2 linked regions of the Rattus norvegicus genome follow. The protein of the gene in region 2 purifies or fractionates together with the protein of the main gene of each other region. This does not show direct contact. Links are inferred from orthologs where the notes say so. Each region holds a gene or a part of one and is shown on either strand. Other genes may lie near its edges.

Region 1 (14,832 bases), on a different chromosome or scaffold from region 2:
GATTGTTGCCATTACCCCCAGCTTTTCCTGTGAGCTGGGCTTACAATTCAGGTCTTCATTGCATGCACAGCAAATACTTAATGGAGCTGTCCCTAGAGCCCTTTGCCTTGATGTTTGAAGGTTTTTATGTGTATGAGTCTTTTGCCTGCATGTATGTGTGCATGCCACATGCATGCCTAGTGCCTACAGAAACTATGAGGGTGTCCAATCGCCTGCCTGGTACTGAAGTTTACAGACGGCTGTGAGACACCACATGGGTGCTTCTCTGGAAGAACAGCTGGCGCTCTTAATTCCTAAGCTGTCCCTCCAGCTCCTCACACTGCCTTCTCTACTGCTCAGTCAGGCATCCACACATAGGAAGCACTGGCCCTGCCTTCGCTACTCAGCCCTCATTCTCAGCTGACTTGTGTCTTTATTGTTGTGCCTAGGACCGGGTGTGCACTGTTTAGCAGTCGGTGACCTCAGTGCTGACTCACCCCAATGGTAGCTCTGCCAATGGGCCCCTCTCCTGGGCACTCTGAGCCCCAGTGGGCAGCCTTTGGCAGGGATCTTTATCTATTCACCGCTTGGGTTGTCAGCTCAAGTATAAACACCTAGCCTGAGCCTCCTCTCACAGAGCACCGCACTAACCTCCCTAGTGACCGACAGGGATGGACATTCTGTATGTCTTACAAAGCCTGGCTTGAGAGTCTAAGTGACAGCCAAACAAAGGCTTCTGAGGTGTGGACAGGTGAGCACTGAGTCTTCCTTTGAAAGTCCTTGGCATCGGCAGCCTGAGCCCCAGCCTGTAGCCAGCAGTCCTCTAGTTTCTGAAATCAGGCCTGGCATGCTAATTCTGCTGCCAAGTCTCCTACCACTGCCCCGTGTCCTCACTCCCAAAGAATTCGCTCTCATGCATTGTCTGTTAAAAAGTTGGGAGGCTGAGGCAGGAGGATTGCTGTAAGTGCAAGACTAGCTAGCCTGGGATACATAGTAAAGTATTATGTGAACCTGGGCTGTATACAGTGAGACGCAAAAGAAAAACTGAAAGAAGATATATATATATATATATATATATATATATATATATATATATATATATATATATGATATACACATATATACAGGGGGGGAGGGAGGGAGAGGGGAGAGGGGCGAAAGGAGAGAGGGGAGAGAAGCAGAAGCCGAGTTAGTAAAGTGCTTGCCATGCAAGATTGAGGACAGGGGTTTGAACCCACCCAAAGAGCTAGGCATGGTGGCACATGGTTGTAGTCCCACTGCTTAGGCGGGCAGAAGCAAGAAAATCCCTGGGATTCACTGTCTATCCTGCCTAACATCACCAATGAGTCCCAGGTCCCCAAGAAGTCATTCAAACACCAAACAGGACTGGTGGGAAGGCTCAGGAGTGGGAAAAATTACCTGCTGTCAAACCCAAGGAACACACACACATACACACACACACACACACACACACACACACACACACACACACACACACACACACACAGAGCGCCTGGCCACCAGGTGCCTCTGTTAAGAGAATGCCTCTAGCCTCACCTGGTCCCCAACTTTGTGTGCGATGACAGTGGCTCCTTCCTCCAGTTCTGTACTGTTGAGTGGGCGGATCCGAAGCGCCACCTGTGGACAGGGCACGGGCAGCACCAAGACCCTCAGCTAGACTCCCACTTCCCATTTGCCTGTGCTCAGTGAGCATCTCCCATTCATTCACCCCCTAGACTCGACTTGCACGGAGCTGTTCCTGCCTCCTAGAGAGGCTCTGAGGACTCAGTGGTGACATCACTCCCATGGAACACAGAGGAACAACTTGCCCAAGGTCACATAGATGCCCATGTTAGCTGTGATCAGAAAGGAAACACCTTTATGAGCATTCAGGAAGGGAGCCTGTGTTTTGCATGTCCCTCAGTTCTGCCAGCCTCTGTGTAACAGTATCCTTTGATGATACCATAGAAGACACAAGGCCAGTTTTCTCTTAACCAGTCACAGGTGGCCGGCTGGGTTCTATGAGTTGAGGGTCCAAGGAGCCTGAATGAGGCCTGCCCCATGGCTGGGGTTGTAGTTCAGACCCTGGGCTGAAGACAGAGGTTCAGAAATGGGGGTACAGGTGTCTAGAGTCCCACAGTGAGAAAGTAGGATAGTATCTCTGGGTTCCAGGAAAGGAAAAGGTGAACCAGAAGTGGAACACTGTTCCTTAAAGGCTAGGAAGACTGATCTGAGCATGGGTTTGGGGTTTCTCCTCAGGGGTGGAGAGGTTGGGAGAGGCTGGAGAGGTTAGCAGGGCCATGAGAAAAGGGACTCACCATGAGCTGCTGGTCCTTGGGTTCCATCTCCCTCAGGGTTGGGCTGCCCCGAGCAGGAGAGGGGTCTGTGGTCTGTTGGGAGGGCATCCTGCAAGTCAGAACTAGGGGCCCCCAGCTAACCAAGCTGAATCGGAGGCAAGGAGAGCCTGCCAGCTCAGCCCTGCCCTGCTCCCCAGGCTCACTCTGATGACATCAGCTGGGTCCCCAGAGGTGGGGCTGGGCCAGCATTCAGCTCATCTATTAACCTGGAGTCACCCCTTCCTGTCTCTGGCCTGGGCAGCCCTTGTGGTTTGAGTACTCCGAAAGCAGCCAGGCAGACCTCAGAGAGGCCACAATAGGGATCTAACAAGAACTCTGTTCAGCCTATCTCTAAGCTCCCTTATGCCACAGGAGCTAGAGCCGAGCCCACCCTACAGAACCTGTAGTGCGGAGCCCAAGAGCACTGATTCACCCAGAGGGGCCACCTGAGAACAGCAGGCCAGTGTGTTTGTCGCTCTACCTGAGCAGACTAAACAGCAGCTGATGCCAAACATGACCATTTCAGCTGGCAGCGATCTTGCCAGGGTCTTTCATAGATAACCAAGTTCCTGGTGACACGTCCGGCCTTTGGTGTCCATTTGCACACCCAGTGTGGGCTTTGGGATGATCTGGTGGACTTACTGCTTTACTTCCTCCACAGGATCCCTCGGGGGACAGTCCTGCCCTGTGAATGTGCCAGCCCAGCGAAGACTGCACAAGCAATGTCGTGCAGGTAACCTGGGGTGGCAGGAGCTATTAAGAACCAGGCTTGGGGAATGGTAGGATGGCTCAGCAGGTAAAGGTACCTGCCCTGAAGCCAGATGTTGAGTTCCAGCCCTGGGATCCACAGTGGAAGGAGAACCAACTCCTACAAGTTGACCTCTGGCCTCCATATGCATATAGCACACATACAAAATATGTAAAAAAAAAAACAAAACAAAGAGCCAGGCTCAGGAGCTGGTTCAGCGGGGGAAGACACTTTGCTTACAAGTCTAGTTATCTAAGTTCAACTTCTAGGTGCACACCAAGCAGAAAAACCTTCCTACAGGTTTCCCTGACCTCTACAAGCATGCATAGCATGCAAATAAAACACACACAAAATTAAGTAAAAACTACTTTTTAGAAAGAGTCATGTTTAGCTGGGTAGTGGTGATGTGCACCTTTAAGCCCTGCATTCAGGAAGTCTGCGAGATCAGCCTAGACCCAAAATATTAAAAAACAAACAAACAAAAAACTGTTTGGCATTCTAAACACTGTCCTGCCTTTTGGCAGAAATCACAAAAAGGGGCTGGAGAGAGGGCTCAGCAGGTAAAAAGGTACTGACTGCTCTTCCATAGGACCCAGGTTCAATTCCCAGCACCCACAGAACAGGTAACAAGTGTCTGTTAACTCTAGTTCCAGGGAATTCTGGCCTATAGACCACTGTACATGTAGTGTAGTACACAGACATACAAGTATAAGACACACACATTAGAAAAAAAAAGTTGCTGGGTAGTAGTGACACCTTATCTTCTCAAACATGGTTTCTCTGTGTAGCCCTTGTTGTCCTGGAACTCACTGTAGAGCAGGCTGGCCTCACACTGAGAAACCCACTTGCCTCCTGAGTACTGGAATAAAGGCCTGCATGCCAGCGCCTGGCTGTGGCACATTCCTTTAATCCCAGAGGATCTCCTGAGTTCAAGGCCTGGTCTACAAAGCAAGTTCAGGACAGTCAAGCCTACATAAGAGAAACTCAAATCTTGACAAGAACAAAAGGAAGCTATAGACTGATGCTATGAGGACTTGGGCTGAGAGCACTGTGCCTAGAGCTCAGGCTAACAACACTTGGGTCATGGGAAACAGAAGTTCCAGGCTCCCCTGAAGCAAGCCACCCCTCTCTCAGAAATCAAACTGATCAGCTGTGGAAGGCCAGAGTGACCTCTCCTTAGATTACATTCCTCCTTGGTCAACCTTGGAAGCCAGGAAATGCCTGACGACACAGGGCAAGAAAGATTGGCTGGGATTAGGGCCCAAAGGTACATCCCCACCCATCCTGGAGCCAAGGCGGAGTTTAAGTCTGTAGCTCTCCTAAACCCTCCCAAGCACTGAGCGGTTGTCCTGGGGCAGGAGCTCTCCCTAAATTCCAGCTGCACCACACAACTGCTTTTACTTACAAATCACAGAAACAAATCACAAAAACAAATCACAATCAAGTTTCAAAGTGAAGAGCTATGAAACTAAAAAAAAAACAAAAACAAAAAAACAAAAACAAAAAAGACTGTTTAAAGAACACGGGGTGGCCAACGCTGTGGGGTAAACTGAAGAGGCCTGCAACCATGATCTAACTGCAGAGAGGTCAAAGGAATAAAGAACCCAAGACACGGGAGGAATGGTGAGCCACCTCCCAGTGAAGCGTGAGACCACTGATCTGGTCGTCTGCTCCATATGCATGGCCTGTCCTCTGCTAGATGTACATGCTCTACAGACATGGGATGGCTGCAGGCCCTGCGGGGTGGCTCTCTGCTCACCAGAGGTGCAGAGGCAGGTGGGAGCCACCTGTGAAATGCAGGGAGAGCAGCACACACACAGCTCATGCTGGGTGAAGCTCACCTACGCCTGTCTGCTGTCTTCTCTGCTGGACACTAGGTAACCTCACAGATACACGTCAAGTGGCTGGCCCCCTCTGTACCCGCCTTCCAACCTGTCCAATGTATCCCGAGGTTCCGACACGCAGGCTCTCAACAACCACCCAGGAGCAGTGCACACATACCCCCACCTCACCCTAGGGAGAGGGAAGGGGCAGGCCTCCAGGCCACTTTGAGCTACAGAGAGATCAGGACAGTGTTTCACACAGGGTTGCTTTTATTTCCACATCCAACTTGAGCAGAGGCCCTGCCACAACCTGAACAGCTGTGAGGTGCTGGGTGCCTCCAGAGTTTCTGGCACAGTAAGTGTTGGGTGTGCAGACTTCCTGATGGCCACATGACACTGGCCCACACAGGAACAGCAAGTCCATGAATGGAAATCCCACTGAGCTGGAAGTGGAGGCTCTGGAAACCCCATGGGCAGCAGCAGGAGTTAAAGGAGCCACCAGGAACACTGCAGTGAGGCTCCAATGCAGACAGGGCTGATAAAAACCCAAACAGGGCATTGTGAGAGCAGAGGCTCGAGTGTCCCCGCTGAGGACCCGGGGCTGAAGGCACAGAGCTGTGTCGGGATGGAAGAACCCTGGGTGCACTCGCAGTCCAGAGCACGAAAGCACAGGTGAGAACCCAGCCCGAGGCTCTCTGTGAAGAGTGTGGCCTTGGATCTTGGGCACGGCACAGTGACACTGCAACAGATGAACCAGCATTTAGTCAGACACAGAGCAAGGGACCACAGCTGGATTCTTTACTGAGCACACTCCAGGCCTTGAGAGGCTTCATTCTCTCTCCTGGTTCCTGAAGGAGCCCAGCACTAAGTACCACATGCAGGCAGACAGACACTCACTCCTGTACTGTAGCCTGTACCAACAATATCAACATGGGTGACAGTGCTGTGCCTGATCTGGAGATGGTCATGCCCGCCTCTGCTTCACCCCAAGCTCCTACAACCACTAGCGGCAGCACCGCCATCTTCCTGGGGTGTCTTCTCTGTTGTGGTCTGACAAGCAGTCAAAGACTCATCAGCAAACCCATCTTCATGTTCCCAAGTCTTACCACAGTGCTGAGGTCACTCCTGACTTCCCAGAGGAATGACCTCTTCAGTGACAAAAAACTCAATGGTCTCTTCCTCCCAGTCATCCACGTTGCTGTCCAGCTCGTCAGTGTCCACCCCTGAGAGAATAGACAACTGACTGACCCCTGGGACATGGCTGCAAAGCCGGTTGCAGGGCCCTCGGGGGGACCACTCCATTTGCAGACAAGCCCAGAAACTTGGTTACCTCCCCGTAGCTCTAGACGCTCGTTCTTCTGCTTCATATAGAGTTCCTGGGCCATTTTTCGGTATTGCCTGAAGTCCTCCATCATGGTCCGCCTTCTTTCCACCAGTTCCTGTCAGGTAGGGAAGGTTGTAGGGCTAACCAGGACATTCTTAGGGTTTTTTTGTTTGTTTTGTTTTTGGTTTTTTTTTTTAAAAAAGACTGTGTACACAGTGCTCTACCTGCATATATGCCTATACACCAGAAGAGGGCAGGAAATTACATTATAGATGGTTGTGAGCCACCATGTGGTTGCTGGGAGTTGAACTCAGAACCTCTGGAAGAGCAGCCAGTGCTCTTAACCACTGAGTCATCTCTCCAGCCCCCATCCAGGACATTCTTGCTCAATGACAATGGTCCTGCCCTATGTAGCACCCATTGGTGAGTGCAGAAGATGTCAGTGCCTTGTGTGCCAGACAACCCTTCTGGAGAGCCTCCCTTAAGTGGGACCTTCTCTTCCTAATCATATCCCTCCTGCTGCTAGCAAGGAAAAGCCAGCCTTTACTCGGTGTTAGTGGGTGCTGGTTCCAAGGACCAGTGATGGCCTCTGACCCCGTTGCTAGTTACCCTTCACAGCGGGAGAACAAGCCAGACCAGGCTCCTGGCACTCCTTCTGACTAGTGTCCAGGGTAAGATAGAGATGGGCTCCTATGGGCATCCCCCTTAGGCTCACCTTTGAAGCTTTGGACTGGCTCAAGCGATCCTTCTGCTCAAAGATCTTAGAGTATTTCTTCAGATCCTTTTTAATTTGCTGAAACCAAGACAAGTCTCTCAGGATTGAGCCTTCAAAGCAATATCCACAACTGCTGTCACAAAGATGCCATGTGCAGTGACGACAGCCTTCAGGACCAGCCCCAGGGCACCAGCATGCCCAGATCACTCATGGAGAGGATTCCTAGGCTGAGTCACTCCCGGCTCTGACCTAGCACCACAAGCCTATCCCATTACATAACCCCTTCTGAGCTCTCCCAATCCCACTGGAACTTGTGCACAGCCTGTCTGGCTTAGACTGACTGTCATGGGTTTTCTGAAGAAGTGGGGAGGGGGAAGGGAAGGAAGACATGATAAGGTCATCTTGTAGTGACCCCAGAGTCTGAAAAGAACTCGCCATCCTCCTGCCTCAGCCTCCTGGGATTATAAGCACTGCCTTACCTGACACAGCTTCAGGTCAGGTCTCATTGGTCCTCATCTCAGAGCCCTCTCCATGCCTACCTCCTCCACTCCCCACTGACTGCCCTGTGCAGTCATAGATGGACAACCGTTCCCTTACCCCAACTAGGCAGGGAACACAGACCTTTATCTGATCCTGACTGAGGAGTGTTGGGGGCCTTGGTCTCCAGAGCAGCTGGCAGAAGCGGTCCTTGTTGTTCTTCTGGAGAAGACGACCTTGGAAGGTCCACAGCCAATAAGCATTGTCCACCTAGAGGGCAGTGGGGCCCATCATGCAAAATGTGCAAGGCCACCCTAGGACCTTTACTCTTGGCAGCACAGCACCAACCTGTGCTCTGGTTGCCCAAGACACAGCACAATGGAGACAGAACCAACCCCTGCCCCTCCTGCAGGGGCCTGCTGATCACTGGTCTATGACCAGAACCTTCTACAGCAGTGCCAATCAGAACAGCAGCAACTACAGCTTAGCTTTCCTGGCAGGACTCTTAACTGAGCTCTGACTCAAACGCTGGGCTCCCTGCTGCCAACCCGCTCTTTAGGAGTTGTGTGAACTAAATGGCCCAGTCCCACACGGGCTTGGAAGACTCTCACTTCCTTCCCTCCCCTTTTATGGAGGTGGGAGATGCTGGGGTAGAACCCAGGCAGCTGCTATGCACTGACATTCCCAGTCCTACAAGATGCTAAATTAAACAAGTGTTGGGATGGGCTGTGCTGCACTGGCACTTGGGATGGGTTCCAGACAGCACACCCTGGAATGAACGAACACAGAGAGTGCTATGCCAGATACTACTCAAAGCCATCTGGCAAGCAAGAGGTCATCTCATCAGCTGGAGCCCTCTGAGCTCACAGGTTTTGTTTGCATGGACTGGCTCAATTGTCCACCCAATGGTAAACACAGGAGGCAGTGACCCATGCTCCAGCAGGCCCTGCCAAGCAGACATGCCCAATGCTCTAGCAGCTGGCCTCTCAGCAGTGAGTTTGAGAAACAGTGGACCAAACTGTCTCCCTAAGCCACAAAAGTTCGTGAGTAATGCCCTCTCACCCTGGGGTCCCTGGATACAACAATCCTACAGAAAACAGTATCTGTCCCTGGCCCTGAGAGACTTCATTCCCCAAGGGCCCAGCACCTGCCATCGTCTACCTTATGGCTCCACCACGACACAGAGGTAACCACATAGCGGCCAGTTGGGTCCCATTCGACGTCGGAGGCCATGTAGTGCTCTGCAATGTTCATGACGGTGCAGTCTGAAGTGTCGACAAACGCCAAGGCGCCATTCATGCTGTGGGATGACAGGGCAGCTGTATCCCACAATCCCCTTGCACCCTACTGAGAGGTCCAATGCCCCTCACTCCAACTGAGTTACAAGGGTGAGAAAGGACCAAGGGCTCTGCTGGGCTGAAGTTAGTTCCCTGGGCCCTATCGCCCTCACAGTGACAAATTTCCCAAGGACATGAATGGTGTACTCAGTGCTCTGTGGCGTCTAGAGAAGATGTTGTGTGTGGAAGCGTCCATGGTGGGAGCAAGCCACAGTAGTCCTTCCCAGCAGAGGGCAGGGCTGGACTTGCTCACTACTCCTATGTGCTCAGCTGGAATGCAGGGGAACAAGTGAAAGGCACCCCAACCAGAGGGCAGGACAGCCTCCAGCTATGCATCTGTCCCACTGGAAGACGTGGGATTCACAGGAGGGGTGCACGGCTACGATCACAGAGGACATGTCATCTGCAAGTCACTACTTCAATCAGCCTGGTTTGGCCAGAGGCTTGGCTGTGATAAATATCTAGTGAGATGATGCACTCCACCAACACAAACCATCAGGAGCAGGACGCTGCCTTAGCGGGCAGGGCCCCAACCCACCTCCTCAGCCCGGCCAGTACCACGAACTGCCCCTGGGGACTCCAGAAGATGGTATTGGCTTGCTGCTTGTCAAACATCTCTGCAAGGAAAATAAGTTCCTGTGAGGGACTGTGCCGGTGCCTCTCCAGCTAAGACACAGTGCCACACTGGTGAGGAGAGCTGACAGAAGCAGAGTGCACATACGACTCCAACACAAACCCACCAGCCACTTTGGGAGAACTATTTCAAAATCATACCCCCGCCCCCGTTCAGTTATGCCTAAAGTCATGATGCATGCTTCTGGGTGGTGGCTGCTGGCTATTACAGAAGTCTGGTGGATACTATTTTCAGCTTCACAGGCAAAGACTGCACTGACAGCAAATACACTGACTCATCTCGGGAGCCCTTAGTGTCCACCAACAGCACCATGGGCCAAGCTACCAAAATCACCATCTTTCAGTGTGCTTACAGAACATCAAGCAAACCATCTTCCCAGTCACCCTGACCCTGGGTGAAACTGACAAAGCAAATGCGGCAATAACCCAGGTCACCCAAAGCCTCTCTCAGTCTTGGCAAAACAGCCATCTTCCCATATGGGGGGTGGGGAGGGGAGAGTCTCACATTCACAGAGAGCTGCAGGACAAATGTCCCATCTGGCCCCAAAGCACAGAGGAGCATTGACTGTGACCCTGGTGAGAGCTGAATCACAGAGATCCGGGGGATAAATGACACGTCTCCTGGTGTCTGTTATAATGGGACAGAAACCTTTTGATTGTCTGCAATTGTCCACCTCTTACATATCCAAGAGAACCAACACCAGAGTGGACTTTACAACACACTAGCTAATTCTGTCACAAATGGTTAGACCCAGGTGAAGGGAAAGCACACTGTTCACAGAAGTCCAAGGAAACCATGGTATGACTGCTACAGCAGAGGGAACAGGGTAGCTGGTGTCCTATAAAGAACTTATGAAATACAGCCTGTATTTCCATCCCAGTGAGGGCAACACTGTGGGTTTAGGTTCAGCTTGCCCTAAGCCCTAACCCTGCTGTGGGGCTGTCACAACAAAGACAAGAAGAGTAGGCAGTAGCCCTTTGGGAGTCTAAGCAAGGCCACACGTGGCCCCCATGCCAAAGGGGAGTGTCTTTTAGGTGAGCCCTGCTGCAGGAAAGGGAATGAGAACACCCCTTCCTGCCGGAGCCGAGCAGAGGACTCAAGGGCTAAGCCAGGCTGAAGGGCAGGGGCAGTAAGGCCCAACTTACTGACTCACTCCAGGCTCGGTGGATATGAAGTATGTGCCCCCTGTCCTGAGTCATCCCAACCTGCTATCATCTCCCGCACAGCTAGAATCCCGGCCCCTGAGCTCTGCAGAGAGAGGCCAAGGGCAGACTACTCACTGATGAGTTCAATCTTCCCATTGCTCTTCACGTGGTAGAAGGAGACAGATATCCGAGGGGCCTCACCATGAAGCACAGCAAACTTACTGCCATTGGGTTCCCAGGCAAAGGCTATGATGGTCTCTACAACCAGCAGGAAAGAGGAGTCAGTTGTCCTAATCTTTCATAACAAAATCTCCATTTTCAAAGATCTTCATTCAATTGGAGAAAAGCACTCCTAATCTACTGGCAGGACCACAGATCAAAAGACAGCAAAAGCAAAGAGAAGTCAGCAGAGTTCAAAAGCACTTGGTTTATCTGGTTGGGATGTTGTGTTAATAACAAGTCCAAGCCAGCCTAGAACTTGGACTGTTCCAGCCCTGGCTTCCTGCAATCTATGATCACAGGCAGGTGCCACCAAACTGTCTTTCCTTAACTGACTTAAGGACTTAACAACTTAGCTGTGGTCTTCTATAGTGAAACAAACTGAAAGCCAATGAGAGGCACAGGCACTAAGACTAAGGATGGAACTAACATATGAGTAAAAGTACATCAACCTTTATGTTGCTGGGCGGTGGTGGTGCTTGCCTTTAATCCCAACACTTTGGAGGTGAAGGCAGGTGGATCTCTATGAATTCCAGGTACCAAAGAATACATAGTGAGATCCTGTCTCAAAATACCCCACTTAAAAAAGAAATACTTTTATTTTTTCCAGAGAGAAAAAGGGAAGGCAGGCCAAGCCTGGTGGCACAGGCTTACAATTCCAATACTCGAGAGGCCAAGGCAGAAAGATTGGTGTTCAAGAGCAGATGGGCATAGAACGAATATATTTCAGACACAAACAAAATCAGTCAAAAATACAACCAGCAGGGGTTGGGGATTTAGCTCAGTGGTAGAGCGCTTGCCTAGCAAGCGCAAGGCCCTGGGTTCGGTCCTCAGCTCCAAAAAAAAAAAAAACCAAAAAACAAAAAAACAAAAATACAACCAGCAAGAAGCTCTTCAAGGTAACTCCAGGCATGGTGTGCCCCTGTAGCCCTATAATGGGCAGGAAGGCAGGCAGGAGGGTCCTGTGGCTAGCCAACCTAACCTATGTGCAGATCTAACCTAGGTCAGGGTGATCTGGGGTAGCTGCTCTTGCTGAGATCCCACTTCAGTACGCCGCTCTGAACACCTATCTCACATAGAAGCTGTACAAGACAAGGGCACGACGGCCCTTCCTGCTTACCTTTCATCTCAACAACGTCAACAGGAACCTGCTTCTCCCTCATTCGGAAGATTTCAAAATTTGTGACAACTCCCTGTTGACAAAAGCAAAACAGGAAGGGTAATTCTCTGGAAGGTGAAGGCATGAAAATATGGGGGTACAAATAATGATCAGACAGAAGACAGCACTCACTCACCAGCACACCCACAACCCTGATGTGGTGCCGAGGCTGGTATGACAGCATAGCCCAAGCACACTCTGCAGCACATCTACCGGAGTTTACCAGAGGGAACGATGGATTTGCACACTGTAGAGCAACCTGCACCATGACCTTCAAAAGCACTAAACCCAGCAGCAGACTCAGTAACTACTCGCCCACCTTAATGCCAGCCCACTAACATGTGGATGCATGTGTGTGCTGGAATACCAGTCAACTATGAAAAAGAATAGAATGAAATGCTGATGCATGCTACAATATAAAAAAAGGTGAGGTCTGGGGCTGGGGATTTAGCTCAGTGGTAGAGCGCTTGCCTAGGAAGCGCAAGACCCTGGGTTTGGTCCCCAGCTCTGAAAAAAAAAAAAAAGAACCAAAAAAAAAAAAAATAAAAAAAAAAAAAGAAGAAGAAAAAAGGTGAGGTCAGAGAGGCTGGACACGAAGGGTCACAGGCTGCAGGGGAATGTTCCTAACAGAGACACCCAGAGAAAGCAAACCAGAGGCTGTCGGGAGTGAGGAGAGGAGAAGGATGGAGGCATAGCTCAATAGAACATTTGACCAGCAATCAGGGGGTTGTCTGAATGACACCGGCATAGGGACAAAAAATAGAAGGGTGGACCAAGGAGCAGTGTGGAAAGGAGAGGCAGCTTAGCATGCCTGTGTGACCTACTAAACATATCCAAAGTCAGGGAGACGGCTCGCCACTTAAAAGCATTTTGGTATATGAATTACATCTTGAGAACAATTAGTTGGGACAGGCTTGGTAGTGCGTGCCTGTGATACAGCACTCGAGGCTAAAGCAAGAGAATCACTGAGTTCAAGAATACCCAGAACCAAAGGCCAAGACCCTGTCAGAGTCAAGACCCGTCAGCAGTCAAGAGTGCTGACTGCTCTTCCAGAGGTCCTGAGTTCAATTCCCACAACCACATGGTGTCTCACAACCATCTGTAATGGGATCCAATGCCCTCTTCTGGTGTCTGAAGACAGCTACAGTGTACTCATTTATAAATAAATCCTTTTAGAAAAGGAAAAGCTTGGGTGTCACTGTGTATTCCTGGATAGTCTGGAATTTGCTATACAAACCAAATTGGTCTTAAACTTGGAGATCTGACTGCCTCTGCCTCCTGAGTGCTAGGGTTAAAGTCATGCACACCATCCCTAGACACTGTTTTTTGGATGAGAAAAACATAAAATTACATAAACAGAAGCACATTTGTATGCAGAAATGTGAAGTCCACCTGATTACCAGGAAAGCAATCTATCCCTTTCAGCTTCTAGTATGAGTGGCTGAGAATCTGAGGATGACACTACTGTATTTTCCCGTGAGCTCAGAACTACATGAAGTGATCAACCCTTAAGGCGGTAAGAAGACAGGATTGAAAGTCCTCCAAGTTCTAGTAAAGTGCTATGTCCAGATTGAGAGTCTCACATCATTATCTAGACATAGCTCACAGCCTCTCAAAAACCATGAATTAGAATTCCACACCCACACCCAGAATCTCAAACACATAGCAGTCTTGCGTTTGGCAGTGCTTGCCCACACTGAGGCACCACGAACTTCCCAGCAGCTGTGGTCTAGAGTGCCGTCAGGCTGAGGCTGCCTCAAGCTCAGACTCACACTGTTACAAGTTACAACTGTGTTGTCTCTACTGTACTTAAAATTTATTTCTTACCAAAAAAAACCAAAAAAACAAAAAAAAACCTTAATGGTTTAACTATTATTTTTCATCATTCTTCAGCATTATTAAATTAGTAGGGTCTCGGATTGGGGATTTAGCTCAGTGATAGAGCGCTTGCCTAGGAAGCGCAAGGCTCTGGGTTCGATCCCCAGCTCCAAAAAAAAGAACCAAAAAAAAAAAAAAAAAATTAGTAGGGTCTCTGAATTATATTGTGGTAGAGTATTTGTTTTGAAATATTGTCCTGTTTGAGTTGCTGACTTGAATTTAAAAAAAAAAAAAAGTCCGATTAATTCTACAAAATTTGGAAACTGCTCTAAACACTACATCTGCCCTTTGCTGTATACTACTGATTTAGGTGACATTCTCAGCACTGACAATTAAATGTTCAAAAACATCCATCAACTCTGAAAAACATTGCACAGAACCAAAAATTAGGCCAAGGTTTAACTTGCACAGGGTCTGGACAGAGAGGAGCACTGGCTGCTCTAGAAAACCTGGGCTCAATTCCCAGCACTCACATGGCAGCCCACCACTGTCTAACTCCAGGTCCAAGGGAGCTAATGCCCTTTTCTGGCCCCCAAGAGCACTGCACAAACAGACATACATGCAATTATGATGATCAGTTCATGCTGTTTTTTTTTTTTTTCTTTTTTACGGAGCTGGGGTATGCTGGGTTTTTAAACCCATTCTGTGCTTATAAAACTGGGAACAAAAATTTCTCGGGTGAGTTGGGGATTTAGCTCAGCGGTAGAGCGCTTGCCTAGCATGCGCAAGGCCCTAGGTTCGGTCCCCAGCTCCGAAGGGAAAAAAATTTATTTCTTACCAAAAAAAAAAAAAAAAAAAAAAAAAAGAATAAAAAATTTCTCGGGTGAAAAGCAATTACAAAAGTCACAGTTTAAGAAGCCATTAACCCAGCCTGGCAGTAATCCCAGCACTCAGGAGGCAGAGGCAGGAAGATTTCTAGTGTGAGGCCATCCTGATCTAAAGCATGGGTTCTATGACAGGCAGGGCTACCCAGAGAAATCTTGTCTCGAAAAACAAAAGATAACATGACAAGCAAACAAACAACGAAGCTTCCAGCCAGAATATCTTGAGGTTCCTTC
Region 2 (14,932 bases):
AATCAGATGGTGATCAATGCTATGGAGGAAATAAAAGAATGATGCTAAGAAATGTAGGAGAAAGGGAATTGTTATTACTCTGTGAGAAAAGATTTCACAGTAAGGGTGACAATGGTGGTGGTGGGGACATGATAAGGTAGAGGACAGGGACTGTGCATGGCCTTTTGAGACACTGTAAACTGGAATGACAAAACAGGTCTTCATCAGGGGACAGGCACTAACTCACCGTTACTTCACAAGAATTTCCTTCCTGATATGTGGGGGGTAAAAGGAAAGGATCATCGTAAAACCAGAAACCCAATTTAGCAGGTTCCTGTTTCCTCTACAAGAGAAATGTCAGTGACATGAACCGGGCATCTTGAGGTAATAGTGATGACTGCAGGATATGGAATTGGATGTATTGTCTGATTAGATGTAGAGATGAGACAGAGAATTGGGGTCAAGGATGTCTTCGGCATCTTTTATCTGCATAGGTGGCAGAACAGAATTGCTGACATTAATTTGGGAAAGATGATAAGGAAGAGTCAAGGCAGAGGAGACCACGGAGTCCAGTTTGTAACACACTAGATGTACATAATATGGTAAACATTTATTTGGTATGTAAAACAGGTGTGGTGTGGCAAGCCTAACTCCTAGGAGAGAAATCCAAGGATGTTAATGCAATTTTTCATACAGGGTAGAAATAATGTCTAAAACTGTGAACTAGAAACAAGGAAAATGAGACCTGATCAGAGAATGAGGTTCAAGGTCTAAGCCCTGGGGTAGTTCAATTTCAGATGTCAAAGAGAGGTGAGTGGTAGCCCCAAGGTGGGGTGCAAATCAGGTCCTGGAAGCCAATATGGAGAAAATGCTCCCAAGTTCTGGAAGCTAACACTCTCAGGATAAGTGGTCAAGTCTGTGTGAGGGAGCAAGTGTTTGAATGCAGGGTGGTTTTAGCCAGATAGCAGGGAAGGGTGGAGGTTGTGCAACACTAAGGCAGCTGGGTTCCAGACAGAAGAGGCCAACCTGCTAAATGGCACAGCAGGGAACAGGGTGGGAGATACTGGGCTGGAAAAATGGGCAGTGACTTAGAGAAGCTCAAAAGAATAGCTAAGGGGTTGTAAGGGTTCTGGTTTGGGATTTGAGGTGTTTCCATGGCTGCATATTTTTTTCTAGCCAATTCTGGTTGCAGGAAGAAGTATGGGGTCAGATTTGACCTGCAGTTTTTTAGGTGATAATAAAGTGAGAGGAGTTGGAAAAGAAAAAAATATATATATATCACCAACAATGAGAGAATCTAAGTTGGGAAAGGAGGAGGAAATAGAGGATGAGGGGTAGCAAAATGGAAGCAGAGTTCTTTGGAGACAGAATTTGATTATATTGCCCAGATGGACCTGAACTCATAATCCTGACTCAGCTTTTCAAGTAGCTGTGATTGTAGATATACCACACATATCTCTCTAGTTTAGAGATACAGACTTGAAGGAATGAAAATTCTAAATTATCATAAGCTACTGTGTGGGTGCAGACATCAGTATACAGGAGTTGTTTCTCTCCTTCCACTGTTACTTGGGTTCTGTCTATTGAACTCAGATTAGGCTTGTACACAGAGCCTTTACCTGCTGATCCATCTTGCTAGCCCCTAGCAAGTTCAACCCAGCCTGTAATCCTAGCTACCTAGGAAGCTGGTGTAAGAAGACTGCAAGTTCAAGACTCTGTCTAAGCAATTTAGGAAGACCCTATCGTAAAACAAAAGGTAAAAAGAGGGTTGGGATCCTGGGCATGGTGGTGCATGCCTTTACTCCCAGCATTCTGGAGGAAAGGGAGGTGGATCTCCATGAGTTTGAGGCCAGCCTGGTCTACAAAGTGAGTTCCAGGACAGTTTAGGGTGACACAGAGAAACTCTGTCTCAAAAAATCAAGAGGGATGAGGATATAATTCAGTTCTGGAGGACTTGCCTAACATGTTCAAAGATTGGGCTCAAATTCTATTAAATGTCTTCTTCACATGTCCCCAGACTGGGGGTGAAAGGCATTGTCTGGGATTCATACATGTTTCGGGTTGTAACTTGGAGGATTATCAGGTAGTCTAGTGAGGGATTTCTTAAACTTTTACCACTTTTGATCCCTTTCATTTGAGAAACTTTTACATGGTTCAAAGTACATAAAATAAGTATAAAAATTAAACTGATAAATCATTAAGATCTTTAAAACAATTTTTGGTATGTATATAGATTCAACACTTTATTAAAGATTAAAGCAAATTTGCATACTGAGGTTGATATGCTTGTTTGTCTAACACAATACAATCTAAAGATAGACTAATTTGATATATGCTGAGGAATGATGGTAGGAAATACTAAAAGCCTTCATTTTTGTAATTAAACTATTAGTTTTTTAAGAGTAGCAAACTTCCTATATGAATAAGTAAAACTTCTTGTATAAATATTAATTTCAGGTTTTTTTAAAGATGTATTTATTTTATGTATGTAAGTACAGTGCCACTGTCTTCAGACACACCGGAAGAGGGCATCAGATCCCATTACAGATGGTTGTGAGCCACCATGTGGTTTCTGGGAATTGAACTCAGGACCTCTGGAAGAGCAGTCAGTGCTCTTAACCACTGAGCCATCTCTCCAGCCCAACTTCGGATCTTTTAAAAATGTTTTTTCATTTAAAAATTTCATGTGTTTCACCCACATGAAATTCATGTGTTGTACCACTGGTGTGACTAGTTCCATCAAGAAGTCAAAAGCTGTCAGATCCCGGCTCTGAGGAATAGATGGCTGTGAACTTCCAAGTGGGTGCTGGGGATCAAACCCAGGTCTGATGGAGAGCAGCCAGTGCTTTTAACCGATGGGCCAACTCTCTGCCCTAATTTTAGCGTTTTCCAGGCTTTCTTCATGGTTGGGTATAAAAGAATGTGCAAAGTGCACATGTTCAGAACCAAGGGTGTATGATGCAACATGGGCTGGCTCTGCCAGCAGCCCCAGGTTTACTATGCATTCGATTTTAAATTAATTTTTGACTGTGTGTGTTCAGGAACCTTTCACTGCTGCCTAACATTTTGCAACTACCACATTCGGTTAAATAATCCCATAAGAAGCTTTGGACTAATCTGAAAGTAGTGAGCTTCAAAGTTCAGAGTTCAGGGAGGAGGGAAAGAGAATGCTCTGAGAGTCATTACTGAGAAGCAGTCGTTGGTGTCTGATCTCCCCTCTGGGGGCAGTAGACTGAAGGAGGAACGCAGCCAGCCCTTTCACTGGGCTGTAGGATGGGCAGGGTGGCCAGAGCGATGGGTCCTGTGATGGAATTTAATGGGGTTATGGGCCAAGAACACGGGGAGTCAGGCAGAATGATTTGGTAGCACTTTGAGTGGAGCCTGAAGTATTGTGTTAAGTGGTTGATAATTGGGTATAGGAAAGTACACTATGTTTGGACACTCAGAAAAATCACAATTGAACTTAGCTTAGAACTGGTGTATCCAGGAGCTTTCTGTAGAGAAAACTGTATTTTCTTTTCTTTCTTTTTTTTTTTTTTTTGGTTCTTTTTTTTTTTCGGAGCTGGGGACCGAACCCAGGGCCTTGCGCTTCCTAGGTAAGCGCTCTACCGCTGAGCTAAATCCCCAGTCCCCTGTATTTTCATTTATTTTTGTGTTCTTGTGTTTAAGCATATGGGAAACTGGAAGTAGATGGACATATGTGCTAAGAACTAAAGATGACATATATTGGGCTTCTAACCTTGTTCTTCCCTACAGATAGAACTGGAAAGTCTTATTTAAATATTGATGTGGATTTTCATTTGTTAATCCTCCATGATTAGTTTGTAAACAGCCTATCTGACTGTTGCTTTGCCAAGCATTCATATACACCAGTGAACTATAGAAAATTTTCATCCTTATCCATTCTTAAGTATGATAAAGGATAAGACATGTTTTATTTATATTTACATATTTATAAATATATGTATATACACATATATTTTTTTTCTTTTCTTTTTGTACTCCTGGCTGTCCTGAAACTCATAGATGCCCAAGTCTGCCTCCTGAGTGCTGGGACTAAAGGCATATGCCATCATACTCAGCTAATGTTTAAAGTAGTTTTGGCATCTAACCTTATCTGGTGCCAAAGAAGATTTCTGAAGGAAGTGACATTTAAGCAAAACCTGAATGAGAAGGTTGGTTTTAAAAGCAAGGAATGGGGGCTGAAGAGATGGCTCAGGGGTTAAGAGCACTGACTGCTCTTCCAGAGGTGCTGAGTTCAAATCCCAGCAACCACATGGTGGCTCACAACCATCTGTAATGGGATCTGAAGCCCTTTTCTGGTGTGTCTGAAGACAGCTACAGTGTACTTATGTATAATAGATAAATAAATCTTAAAAAAAAAAACAAGGAATGAGGCAAGGGTAGGGTTAGGTGGGTAGGAGTCATTAATTTCAGAATTTAGGAGGCAGGGACAGGTGGACCTCTTGTTTCTGGCCAGCCAGACTACATAGTGAGACTGTTTCAAAAATAAAATAAAATAAGATAAGATAAAATAAAATGGAATGACTGGTTCCTAGTGAAGTGATGTGATGCAGGAGATGGGCAGGGCCTTTTAGGGCACTGAAAGATACAGTATGTGGGCCTGGAGCAGATAGGAGAATCTGCTCTGCAGTGGTGTCTGTCTTCATGGAGATTATGGTGAATAAAGTACAGCTTCTTCCTAGGACTCTACCAAATTAGGAAGTTAGACTATTTTATTTACTGTTGTAACCCTCACACCTATCAGAAATGTATATTTGTTATGCTTGGCACATGGTACACACTTGATAAAGATTTGTTGAATGAGTGCATTACTCTGAATGATAGTCTGTAAGCTTATAAGAATATTGTTATATTTTTGAAAATAAAATGATAAATGTGATGTTAGGCATGTTGGTTCATGCCTGTTGTTTGAGCACACTTCAGGCTAAGGTGGGGGAATTGAAAATTCTAGGCCAGTTTGGAATGTTTTCATTGCCCAGTGAGATCTATCTCAAAAGTAAAACAAGAGAAAAACCAACCCCCTCTCAAAAAACCCCCTGCATTGTATTTGAGAAACTATCACAGGAAGTACAAGAAGTAACTTGAGAAGGAAAAAAAATCCTTCAACCTTTACCAGGCCTGAATGGTTGTTTTCTGATAAATGAGCATTAATCAGCAGATAATTATGCTTTTCTCTTGGTCCAACTAGATCCTATCTTGATTTTCATTGTATAAACATCTATTTTTATCAGGGAATCATTAATTCTTTGAAAGGAAGCATTGAGAATCTTTTTTTTTTCTTTTTTCTTTTTTTTTCGGAGCTGGGGACCGAACCCAGGGCCTTCCGCTTGCTAGGCAAGCGCTCTACCACTGAGCTAAATCCCCAACCCCAAGCATTGAGAATCTTAACATCTCTAACACTCAACATTATGGCTGCTAACTGGTACCAAAAACCTGTTGGTGGAATGTATTTACCCCTGGTAATCAACATTATTACTTTCATTAACAAAGAGTACCAGACTCTAAGTAATTGTTGGAGATGGTGTCTTGTTTATTGCTCAGCTGGCTTGAACTCCGAGGTTCTAGTGATCTTTCTGTCTTAGGCTTTGAGTGGCTTGGACCAGATACCAGCCACTGTATACAATTAATTTGTCTCATTCTTTTTAATGCACTTACATGATCATTGGCTATTACATCACCAATGATTCTTATGCTTTAAATAACATGAAGGGAAAATTATCAGTATGAGAGATATTTCATTTCACTTCATTTTTTTAATTTTCTAGTGCTTATCTGACTGTGGGCCTACTACATAGGTAATGCTGAACCCATTTTACTTTTATGACTATTTTGCCTTTTGAATGTTTGTGCACTTGTTGCTTGTAGAGGTCAGAAAGTGTCAGATACCCTAGAACTGAAGTTATGGATGATTATAAACCACCTTATGGAAGCTTAGAATCAAACATGGATCCTCTTCAGGAACAGAAAGTACTCTTAACTGCTAAGCCATTTTTTCAGCTCCTATTTTTACTATTTTCTGATGTAATAAAGGAATCGAGAATGTGTAGAAAGCCTTTTCTGATATTTAGACCAAGTTTCTTTTGATTTTACTGTTTGCATCTTTCTTTAGCCTATTATGTAATTAAAAACTTCAAGAAGGAACCATTTGCTCTTTATGTTTGACTTTTAAAATTTGACTTAATTATAATATACACAAAGAAGTCCCTTGATCATGCCCATAAAACAGTTGCTAAAGCTTGTAACACTAGATGTTCTTTTACATCAGTCCTGTCTGGTACTTGCTTTTGGAGGTGAAAGTTCGTGCATTTAGCATGGTCTAAGTATTCTGGAGGAAGAACTCTTGAAATCAACTTTAAAGTATTCTTTGTTTTTAATGTGTCTGTGTCTTTGGGTATGTTCATGTGAATGTAAGTGTTGGGGAAGCCAGAGATGATAGATACGCACGGAACTAGAATTAGAGGTGGTTATGAGCAACCTAACGTGGGTGCTGAGAGCTGAACTAAAGTGCTCTGCAAGATTAGTATCTCTTCAGACCTTTAAATAGCTTAAAAATAGTTTTAATTTGTTTTTCCGAGAAAGGGTTTCTCTGTGTAGAACTCACTCTATAGACCAGGCTGACCTCGAACTCACAGGGATCTGCCTCTCTCTGCCTCCTGAGTGCTGGGATGAAAGGTGTGGGTTCCCACTGAGCTTAAGGTTTTACTTTTCTTTTTAAGGTTTCCTCATTCATTGATACACTATCTCACTAATTTACATATCCCATATTATTGTAAAATATATAATGAACTTGCAATAATTTATTCATTTCCTTCTGAATTTTCTCTGAACCTTTGTGTGGTGCCAGGGATTATGGGCCTGTGCGTGATAGAGGAGCGCTCAGCCACTTTACATCTGCAGCCCTGAACTCAAGTTAATTTCCTACCAAGAGCCTCAGAATTCGACGCGGTTTTAAATGGCTTTCAAGCTCTAAGCATAGTAATTAATCTATGAACACTAAATTTGTTAGGTAGCAATAAAAGACATGGCTTGCAGTAAGCCATTTCCTCACCAACACGCATTTCTTGTATTTGTGACGTGAGTTGTATGTAAAAATCGATGACACTCGCGTATTTTCAAACACTATACAAGACGGTTCTATCTGTGTTCCTGGGTCTTCTACTCAAAGGAGGTGGCTCTGCCCCTGCTCGTCTTCTTTCAGGAATCCTTGAGACGCTAACCCTACAAGGATACCAAATAACTCTGTTTATTATTTGCTTGTTCCCTCCCCTTCCTTGTCAGTTAAGCGACTGGTGCCCTATTTCTTAGCAACGAACACCACTGGACAGCGATACCGGCTCAGCACTTCCGTTAAGTATTTTGAACCTTTCCAGGCGATGTCTCCGCACAGCCGTTGCGACCTTAACGCGGCCAGATTCTGCGCACGTCATTTTGGGAATGACTGTTGTAGACACTGCCTTTTTTAGTCGCAGATCTGACCGCAGATTTTCCTTTCCCACCCTATGTCCGCTGGAGCAGTGGTGGCCGGAGAAAACTTCTTGGGGTTCCCTCCCGCGACCCAAAGAACACAACTGTTCTCGCTGCCCGGCACCCATCGCCACGTCAGCTCACGCTCGCGACGCCAGCACGCCTGCGCGCAGAGAAAGGCGGAGCATGCGCAAAGGCCTGCCTCTTACATCCGGGGCTCGGGCGGCGGCGCTGCCGCCGCGAGGGAATCACGTGGCTCCTTCCTTTCCGTCTCTGGCCGGCTGGGCGCGGGCGACTGCTGGCGAGGCGCGTGGAAGCTCGCGCTAGTTCCCCTCCGCCTCCTCTCCCGGTCCAGGCCACTAGGGAGTTCGCTGACGCCGGGTGAACTGAGCGTACCGCCAAGATGCCGGCCTATTTCCAGAGGCCGGAAAATGCCCTCAAGCGCGCCAACGGTGAGTAAGGCAGCGGGTCGCGCCGCGCAGGGCTGGCCCGAGGCCTGGGAGTTCGAGGGCCCCCTCCTGCTGCCCGCACCCGGGCTGTGGAGGCCAGTGGTCACGGCCGCCGCCACCCGGCCATGTCTCACACGGCCTCCCTACTCAAGCGGGCCGCGGCGGAAAGCGCGGATCAGGAACCGTCGCTCCCGTGTGTGTCCACTGGCTGCGGCCCAAGGCTTGCGTCGGAGGGCCACGGCCCGCGGGTCAGATCTCTCTGATCTTGCGATTCTTAGCCACGATCGGCCTCCTGCTGGCCTTTCAGACCGTGGACTGCTTGGGAAGCCCCGCGCTCCCTGCCGCCATCTGGGAGTGCCGGGAGGAGGAAACATGGCTCCCTCCCGGGGACAATGCACGCGAGAACCTCAGCTCCACCTCCCGCCGGGGTCGGGAGCCCGGCTAGTCTACCTCCACCCCACCTCTCCGGCACGTCTGGCTCCAGATCCCACGCGGAGGCCTTCTGGGTCAGGGTCTACTTGCCTCACTACTAGTTTGCACTTCAGGCCTCTACTCCATTAACTTGTTTCCTGTGTGGTGTTTCCCTCCCCACGATTCGATAAGGGTCATTTCGAAAGTATTTCGAATCATTAAAAGTTAATATTCTTTAGGGATTTAAAAATGATCCTCCCCAGACAAGCTCCAGAAAGAGTGGTTTCCCCCAAGGTCACTTGGAAGTGTCAGGAAACTTAAGATCAAGGTCTCTCGATATCCAGTTCGGGTTTTTTTTTTTTCCCCCTTTTTCTCTTCTGTCTTTTTTTCCTTCCACCGCAGTGCCACTGAGTGCTATTTCTATTTCCATACGTGTGCTTAATTAAGCCTGGCACTTGCAGGAAAGACTTGCCCGGATCTCTGATATTGTGGTGGAAAAGTCGTGTGCATATATCTGATCTGACCTTTAAAAACTGCTTTTTGTTTTTTAAAATAAAACCTGATAATTATGTATCTGTGTCCCTTTTAACTCCTCCAGTCCAAACATAAACCATTTATGTTGCCGGTTTTGTGTTTGGCAAGATTACTAGAAGTGGAAGCCACATTTTATGAAAAGGCCATTTGAGTCAAAACTTACAAAAGAATACTGCTGATAATTTGTCAGGAATAAAGATGTGTTGGCTGCATACTTATATTTTTTATTTTGTGGAGGCAATCTGGAATAGAATAATAATGCACCGTGGATAACCTAATACTGCTAGCACTAATTTATTATTGAAATTAGAACTGTAGCTAATTTAGGACTTTTTGATGTTTTGAAACTTAGAATCACGTTGTGGTGTTGAAAATGGAATTGGACAGACATACTAAGTATAGCTATTATATATGTTTAAGCTGTAACATTCAGCAGCAGTCATTTTCCCCATAGTAGTCTAGCTAAAGCACTACAGTCTTTGGCCTACATACATACATAGTAACATGCTGACCCTATTTTTCTCTCCTGTTTGGAATCTTCATGTGAACTTGGTTAATATTTCAATAACTTTTTAAAGCAGAAAGGTTACATAATGTGTTCTAAATTCCTTTTCACAGTTTCTAAGTTGACTTGCTTAATGATGAGTAATCTGGGGAAAGTATCAGCAAAGTAGGGTAGTACTTTGTGGTACAGTGTGGCTAACTTAGGTCTTGTTGGTGCATTTTACCTAAGACCTGTAGTGACTTCTTGGTGCAGCCCCATTACAGTTGCCAGAATATTAAGGAGTAATACCTTAGCTTCCAAGGAACTTGACAGGAGCAGATTGTCTTATCTCACATGGTGCTGTTTATAAAACAAGTAGATGATAAAATGGGTTTTCACTCCTCAGAAATCTGTTTACCTAAACGTTTTATCTGTAGCATTTGTAGCCCCAGGGATATTTAGACCTAATCTATTGCATTATTTTAATAAATAGCCCTTCAAGTCACTCTAAGCTGTAATTAGGGGGTGGGAAAATGTCAAAGCCTTTTACCCTTACACTCTACAACTTCAGCCTTAAAAAGTAAAATTGAGGGGTTGGGGATTTAGCTCAGTGGTAGAGCACTTGCCTAGCAAGCACAAGGCCCTGGGTTCGGTCCCCAGCTCCGGAAAAAAAAGAAAAAAAAAAAAGTAAAACTGATATTATGAAACCCCACAACTAAGTAGTAACATTATAGCTTAGATACTTAATCTGTTGCAGGAATTGGTGAAAAATGAAGGATTGATGTGAGTCTTTTCTTTATTGGTAGATACATGGTTTCAGTCAAATCCTAAAGATAAATGCAGAGTGCCTATTCTAATAATACATATAATTCTGGATTTTGGTTTATAGACACTTGAAATCTTGAAATCAACTAAGTGTTGAAATAATTCCTTCTAGCTGCAAAAGCCTTCCCACAATATTAATTAGGTAATTTCAAGGACCTCAGTCTCAGTTGTAAGAGTAAGGACGAGTCACAGCCATGGATCATCATGAAGAGTTTGTTCGAATTTCAGTTCGTTGTTTATATTTTCCCTCCCCTTACTTTTCTTAGTGGGTGGGGGATTTTAAGGAGAGTGTGTGTGTGTGTGTGTGGGGGGGGTCCTCAGCTGCTCTGTGCCCTAAAACTCATGCTGAGGTGAAAGGCATGCTTCATCGCTTCATCACACCAAGCAGATGTTTTATATTCAAGTGAGCGTCTTTTTCCTTATTTGAAACTTTAAAAGCTAGATTTCTGGGCTTGGACTTGAACCTATCATTAAGAAAATGACTCTTTAATTCTGTCATAAAACGTTTATTTGTTTTTGTACTTTTTTTTTTTTGAGGCAGAGCCTTATTAGGTAGCCCAGATTGTTCTCAAATTTGATCTTATTACTTCAACCTCCTTCAGTGCAAATGATAGAGATTTGATTCTACAACATCAAATTTCTAAGCAAGAATTTAAAAGTGACAGGAAGAAATCACACTTGTGGGCAGAACCTGGGTTTGGTTGCCAGTACACACAGTTGCTTAAAATCAGTTGTAACTCCAGTTGAAAGGGGATCCATCCTCTTCTGACAACCAAAGGCTGTCAGAGTTATACATGGAAGCAAAGCTCTGATACACATAAAGTAAAAAACAAAAAATGTATTTTTTTAGAAGTAAAGACACCTTATATCTATTTAAAAAATTACACATTGGGAAAGTGGATTATTCTTATATTTCCAGTGTTTTGCATTTTAATTTTATCATGGGGTTAGTACTGAACTTAAACTTGATTTGTATTTCATATTGTAAACACTAATAGCTTAAAGTTTAAATCCTTATTGTAAAGTTAGGGATTAGGTATAATGTCATTTTAATGTTGCCGTTACAAGTTTTCTTTTAATTTCTATGGTATGAGTGCTTCGCTTGCATGTATGTCTATTACTATATGCAAGTAGTGCTCTCTTGGAGGTCAGAAGAGGGTGTCAGGAAATACCGAATCGGGATTCAGGAGTTATTGATGTAAACTTCCATGTAGGTGCTGGGAATAGAACCCAGGTCCTTGAAGAGTAGCCAGTGTTCTAAATTGCTAAGCTATCTAGCTGTTACAGTATTTACTGATTTTCTTTTTTTTTTTTTTTTGTTGTTGTTGTTGTTGTAGGGACTTTTGGGTTAAATTGTTTTGAAAAATGTCTAAATAACATGGAAAACAACCCTTGGCACATTTCCAGGAAGAGGGTAGTACTTAAAACAGGAAGATATTTTTGTTTCAATATAGTTGTACTTCCTTGTGTCATTTAGGATTGGTGTTAGTTTTCAGGGGTGGCCGGGTGGCCCAAGTGAAGATGGTCTTTCCCCACATATAACATGGAGGTGTTTGTATTGGTTTGCATATTTGATATAAGGAGTAGGGCTAGGGTTGTGTCTTGATCTGGTACACTGGAGACAAGCCCCTAGGTTTGGTCTCCAGCACTGGAGGAAAAACCATAGGATGAAGTCGGGATGTTTTGTAAAGATGTTTAATATGGTATGTTTAGTATGCTATGGTTTTTGGTTATTAGTTTGGTATGTGATTTGATCAAGTATAAACATAGTATGTGGGAGAATTAGAGCAATATTGTTTCACTGGAAGAACTGGGACGCACCATTCCTGAAACTAGAGTCATTAAGCCTGTAAGTTTAGTAAGCTTCTAAATAATAAACTTTTATAGGCCTTTATGTGTATGAGTGTTTTGTCTGTGTGTGTGTTAATGCATCATGTGTGTCTGGTGTCCACAGAGATCAGAAGAGAGAGGGTATCAGTCCTGGGATGGTGATGAGACACAATGTGGGTGGTGGGGATAGAGCTTGGGGTTCTCTAAAAGAGGATTAAGTGCTCTTGGCCACCTCTCTAGCCTCAATTCTGTTCATTTAAAAAAAAAATGGTACTGGGATTCAACCCAAGGGTACTAACATGCTTGTTTAAAGGTAGAGCTTCTCCACTCAATTCAACTTTATTCAGGAAAAGAAAAAAAATTGTTCAAGATTATCTTTTTAGAGGGTGGTGGTGATGATTTTATTTCGTAGTCTAGGCTGGCTAACTTGACACTCAGGTCATTTGCCTGAGCCTACCTACTAGATAAAGGTGTGGGCCACTATCTCTGGCCCCTTTTTAAAGATTAATTTTATGCATACGAGTACACTTTAGTTGTCTTGAGGTGTACCAGAAGACATTGGATCCCATTATAGATGGTTGTAAGCTGCCATGTGGTTGCTGGGAATTGAATTCAGCTGTCAGTGCTCTGAACCATTGTTCCATCTCTCCAGCCCCCAATATTATTCTTTAGGAGAAAAATAAACATTAAAAAAGGGAGAGATAACAAAACTAGTGTCTTAACTCCTTTAAAAGTTTTAAATATCCAAGTGAAAGTTTTTTGTGTTTGTGTGAAATTTAGCATTTTTTGCTTTTTTTCCCCAGCTTTCCAGGTGCTAAGATTAGAGGCATAAACCACTACAAGTTTAAGATAACATTTTAATCTAGAGTCTTTTCTGTTGACTAATTTGAAAAGTTGCTACATATGGCAGCTAGATTTGGAGATCTAGTTATTTACACACAATGCTTTCAAGCTCATAAAGTCAACCGTTTTTTGTCCTGTAGTTTTTATTTTTTAAAACCTTAATTTAAATTTTATAGAGCAAGTTTCAGTTGCATAGAATCATTCTCAAAGATAGCACAGTTTTCATCATATCCAGTTCCCATTAATGAACATCTACAATCTGTTACATCTTTTATAACTAAGGAGTCATCAACTGAAGTTATTTATTCATTTATTTTGTTTTTTTGTAGAGGTAGGATCTTAATTTTGTAGCCCTGGAACTCAGTAGCTCCAGCCAGCCTCCAACTCACAGATTTGCCTGTGTTGACTGTGTTCCAGTTTCCCTATTGGGCATTAGGATCCTATCCATACACCACATCACATTTAGTTGTCATGTCTTCATTGTCACAGTGTCTCAGACTTTTCTATTTTTTTTCCTTTCATCATCACATATTTGAGAAGTACTCCTGCATTTTGTAGAATGTCCTTTGTGTTACTGTAGCACATCCTGGGTACTTTATCAAAACCAAGAATGTATCTCTCTTATTTCTGATGGCTTTAAAAAAAAAATCCATGATAAGGTAGCAGGATCCGTATGTGGAGAGAACTGACTGGCTTGTTACTGTTATCCAGAGGAGATTAATAGTGTTCCCTTGTCTGATAAGAGAGAACAAAAAGGAAGCTATCAGATTATCTAGTATAAAAGCTACCTGTTGCATTTAGAGGTGGAACTCTTTGATCCTGCTGTTTCTTTAAAGGCCAACTCCTAATAGTATTTGGTTAGGGAGTATGTGTCAATCCAAAGTTTAGGAGAACACTTAAACAAACATTTATACCATTGAATCTTAATGAGTATTTCTCTTGATAATTGTTTTTAAAGTACTAGTTTTATTTTTCTCTCAAGTCAATATTTTTCTTTGTAGCCCTAGTTATCCTGAAATTCTTTTAATCTTGGTTGGCATTGAACTAAGAGATGCATTTGCCTATGGCTCCTGAATGATGGGTTGAAGACATGTGCCACCCACCGACCAGCAAAGTTAATTTTAAAAATACATTTCTGGAGCTAGGTACATGGTTCAGTAGTTAAAAATACTTGGTGCTCTTGGAGAGGACTGTAGTTCTGTTCCTAGTATACAATTAGGTAGCTGACACACTCCCTGTAACCCTAGTTCCAAACATTTTTGGAGCACAAAACATACACATACACATAAGATAAAATTAATAAGTGTTTAAAAAACTTATTGGGGTTGGGGATTTAGCTCAGTGGTAGAGCACTTGCCTAGCAAGCACAAGGCCCTGGGTTCAGTCCCCAGCTCTGAGGGAAAAAAAAAAAAACAAAACTTATCACACTTCGCCATGAACTTTCTCATGTCTCCATGTATAGCCCTAGGACTCCTGAGTCTCTGTAGACCAGGTTGGTTCCAAACTTAAGGGATCTACCTTCCTCAGCTTCTGCTTCTGCCTTTGGAGTGCCAGGATTAAAGGTGTATGTGATGCTAAGTTCAGCAGCTCTTTTTAGCTGTTAAAGGTTTATTTTTGAGTTGTTTTCTATAGAGAGACCATGGTTTGACCCTTCTACTCAAAAGAAAAAGTGTGTGCATACATGCTGTGTGAATTGTTGAAAGAGGCCAGGAGAAGGCATTGTATCCCCCGGAACTGAACATTAACAGGCAGTTGAACTACTTGAGTGAGGGAGCTAGGACTCAGATAATTGAGCCATCTTTCCCAGACCCATGAACCCTTTTCATTTAGTTTGTCATGACCATTACATGACTAGGGGTGGATAGACTGTCATAACTTCCAACTCTAAACCTGTATTCAGTGTGATCCCAGTCGAAATCTTAGCAAGCTATTTTATAGATGGTTGTAAAAGTTTTATGGAAACATAGGTATGGAAATATCTATGTTAGAGAATGGATACCAACTGGCAAAGTAGGAGCACTTACTATCCAATTCTAACACTTTACTAAATTCCTTGAGAACGGATGGAATGCAAGGTCCTGAAGTAAAT

The links.
Region 1: the proteins of Eif3a (region 2) and Eif3b purify together in Homo sapiens (co-immunoprecipitation; 15 studies listed by BioGRID and IntAct, with this or other methods). This does not show direct contact. The link is inferred for Rattus norvegicus from reciprocal best matches to the Homo sapiens genes EIF3A and EIF3B.

What each region holds. Positions count from the first base shown.
Region 1 is NC_086030.1:19,305,170-19,320,001, forward strand, and holds the end of Eif3b (eukaryotic translation initiation factor 3 subunit B), read right to left. Parts: intron 11,931-14,832; coding exon 11,858-11,930; intron 10,777-11,857; coding exon 10,654-10,776; intron 9,357-10,653; coding exon 9,278-9,356; intron 8,703-9,277; coding exon 8,564-8,702; intron 7,673-8,563; coding exon 7,547-7,672; intron 7,004-7,546; coding exon 6,926-7,003; intron 6,326-6,925; coding exon 6,217-6,325; intron 6,110-6,216; coding exon 6,006-6,109; 3' UTR 5,993-6,005; intron 5,626-5,992; 3' UTR 5,139-5,625; downstream 1-5,138. Other genes in the region: Kif19b (kinesin-like protein KIF19), read right to left, coding at 1,537-1,617, 2,298-2,384.
Region 2 is NC_086019.1:269,911,780-269,926,711, reverse strand, and holds the start of Eif3a (eukaryotic translation initiation factor 3 subunit A), read left to right. Parts: upstream 1-7,686; 5' UTR 7,687-7,870; coding exon 7,871-7,919; intron 7,920-14,932. UniProt on the Homo sapiens protein: RNA-binding component of the eukaryotic translation initiation factor 3 (eIF-3) complex, which is required for several steps in the initiation of protein synthesis.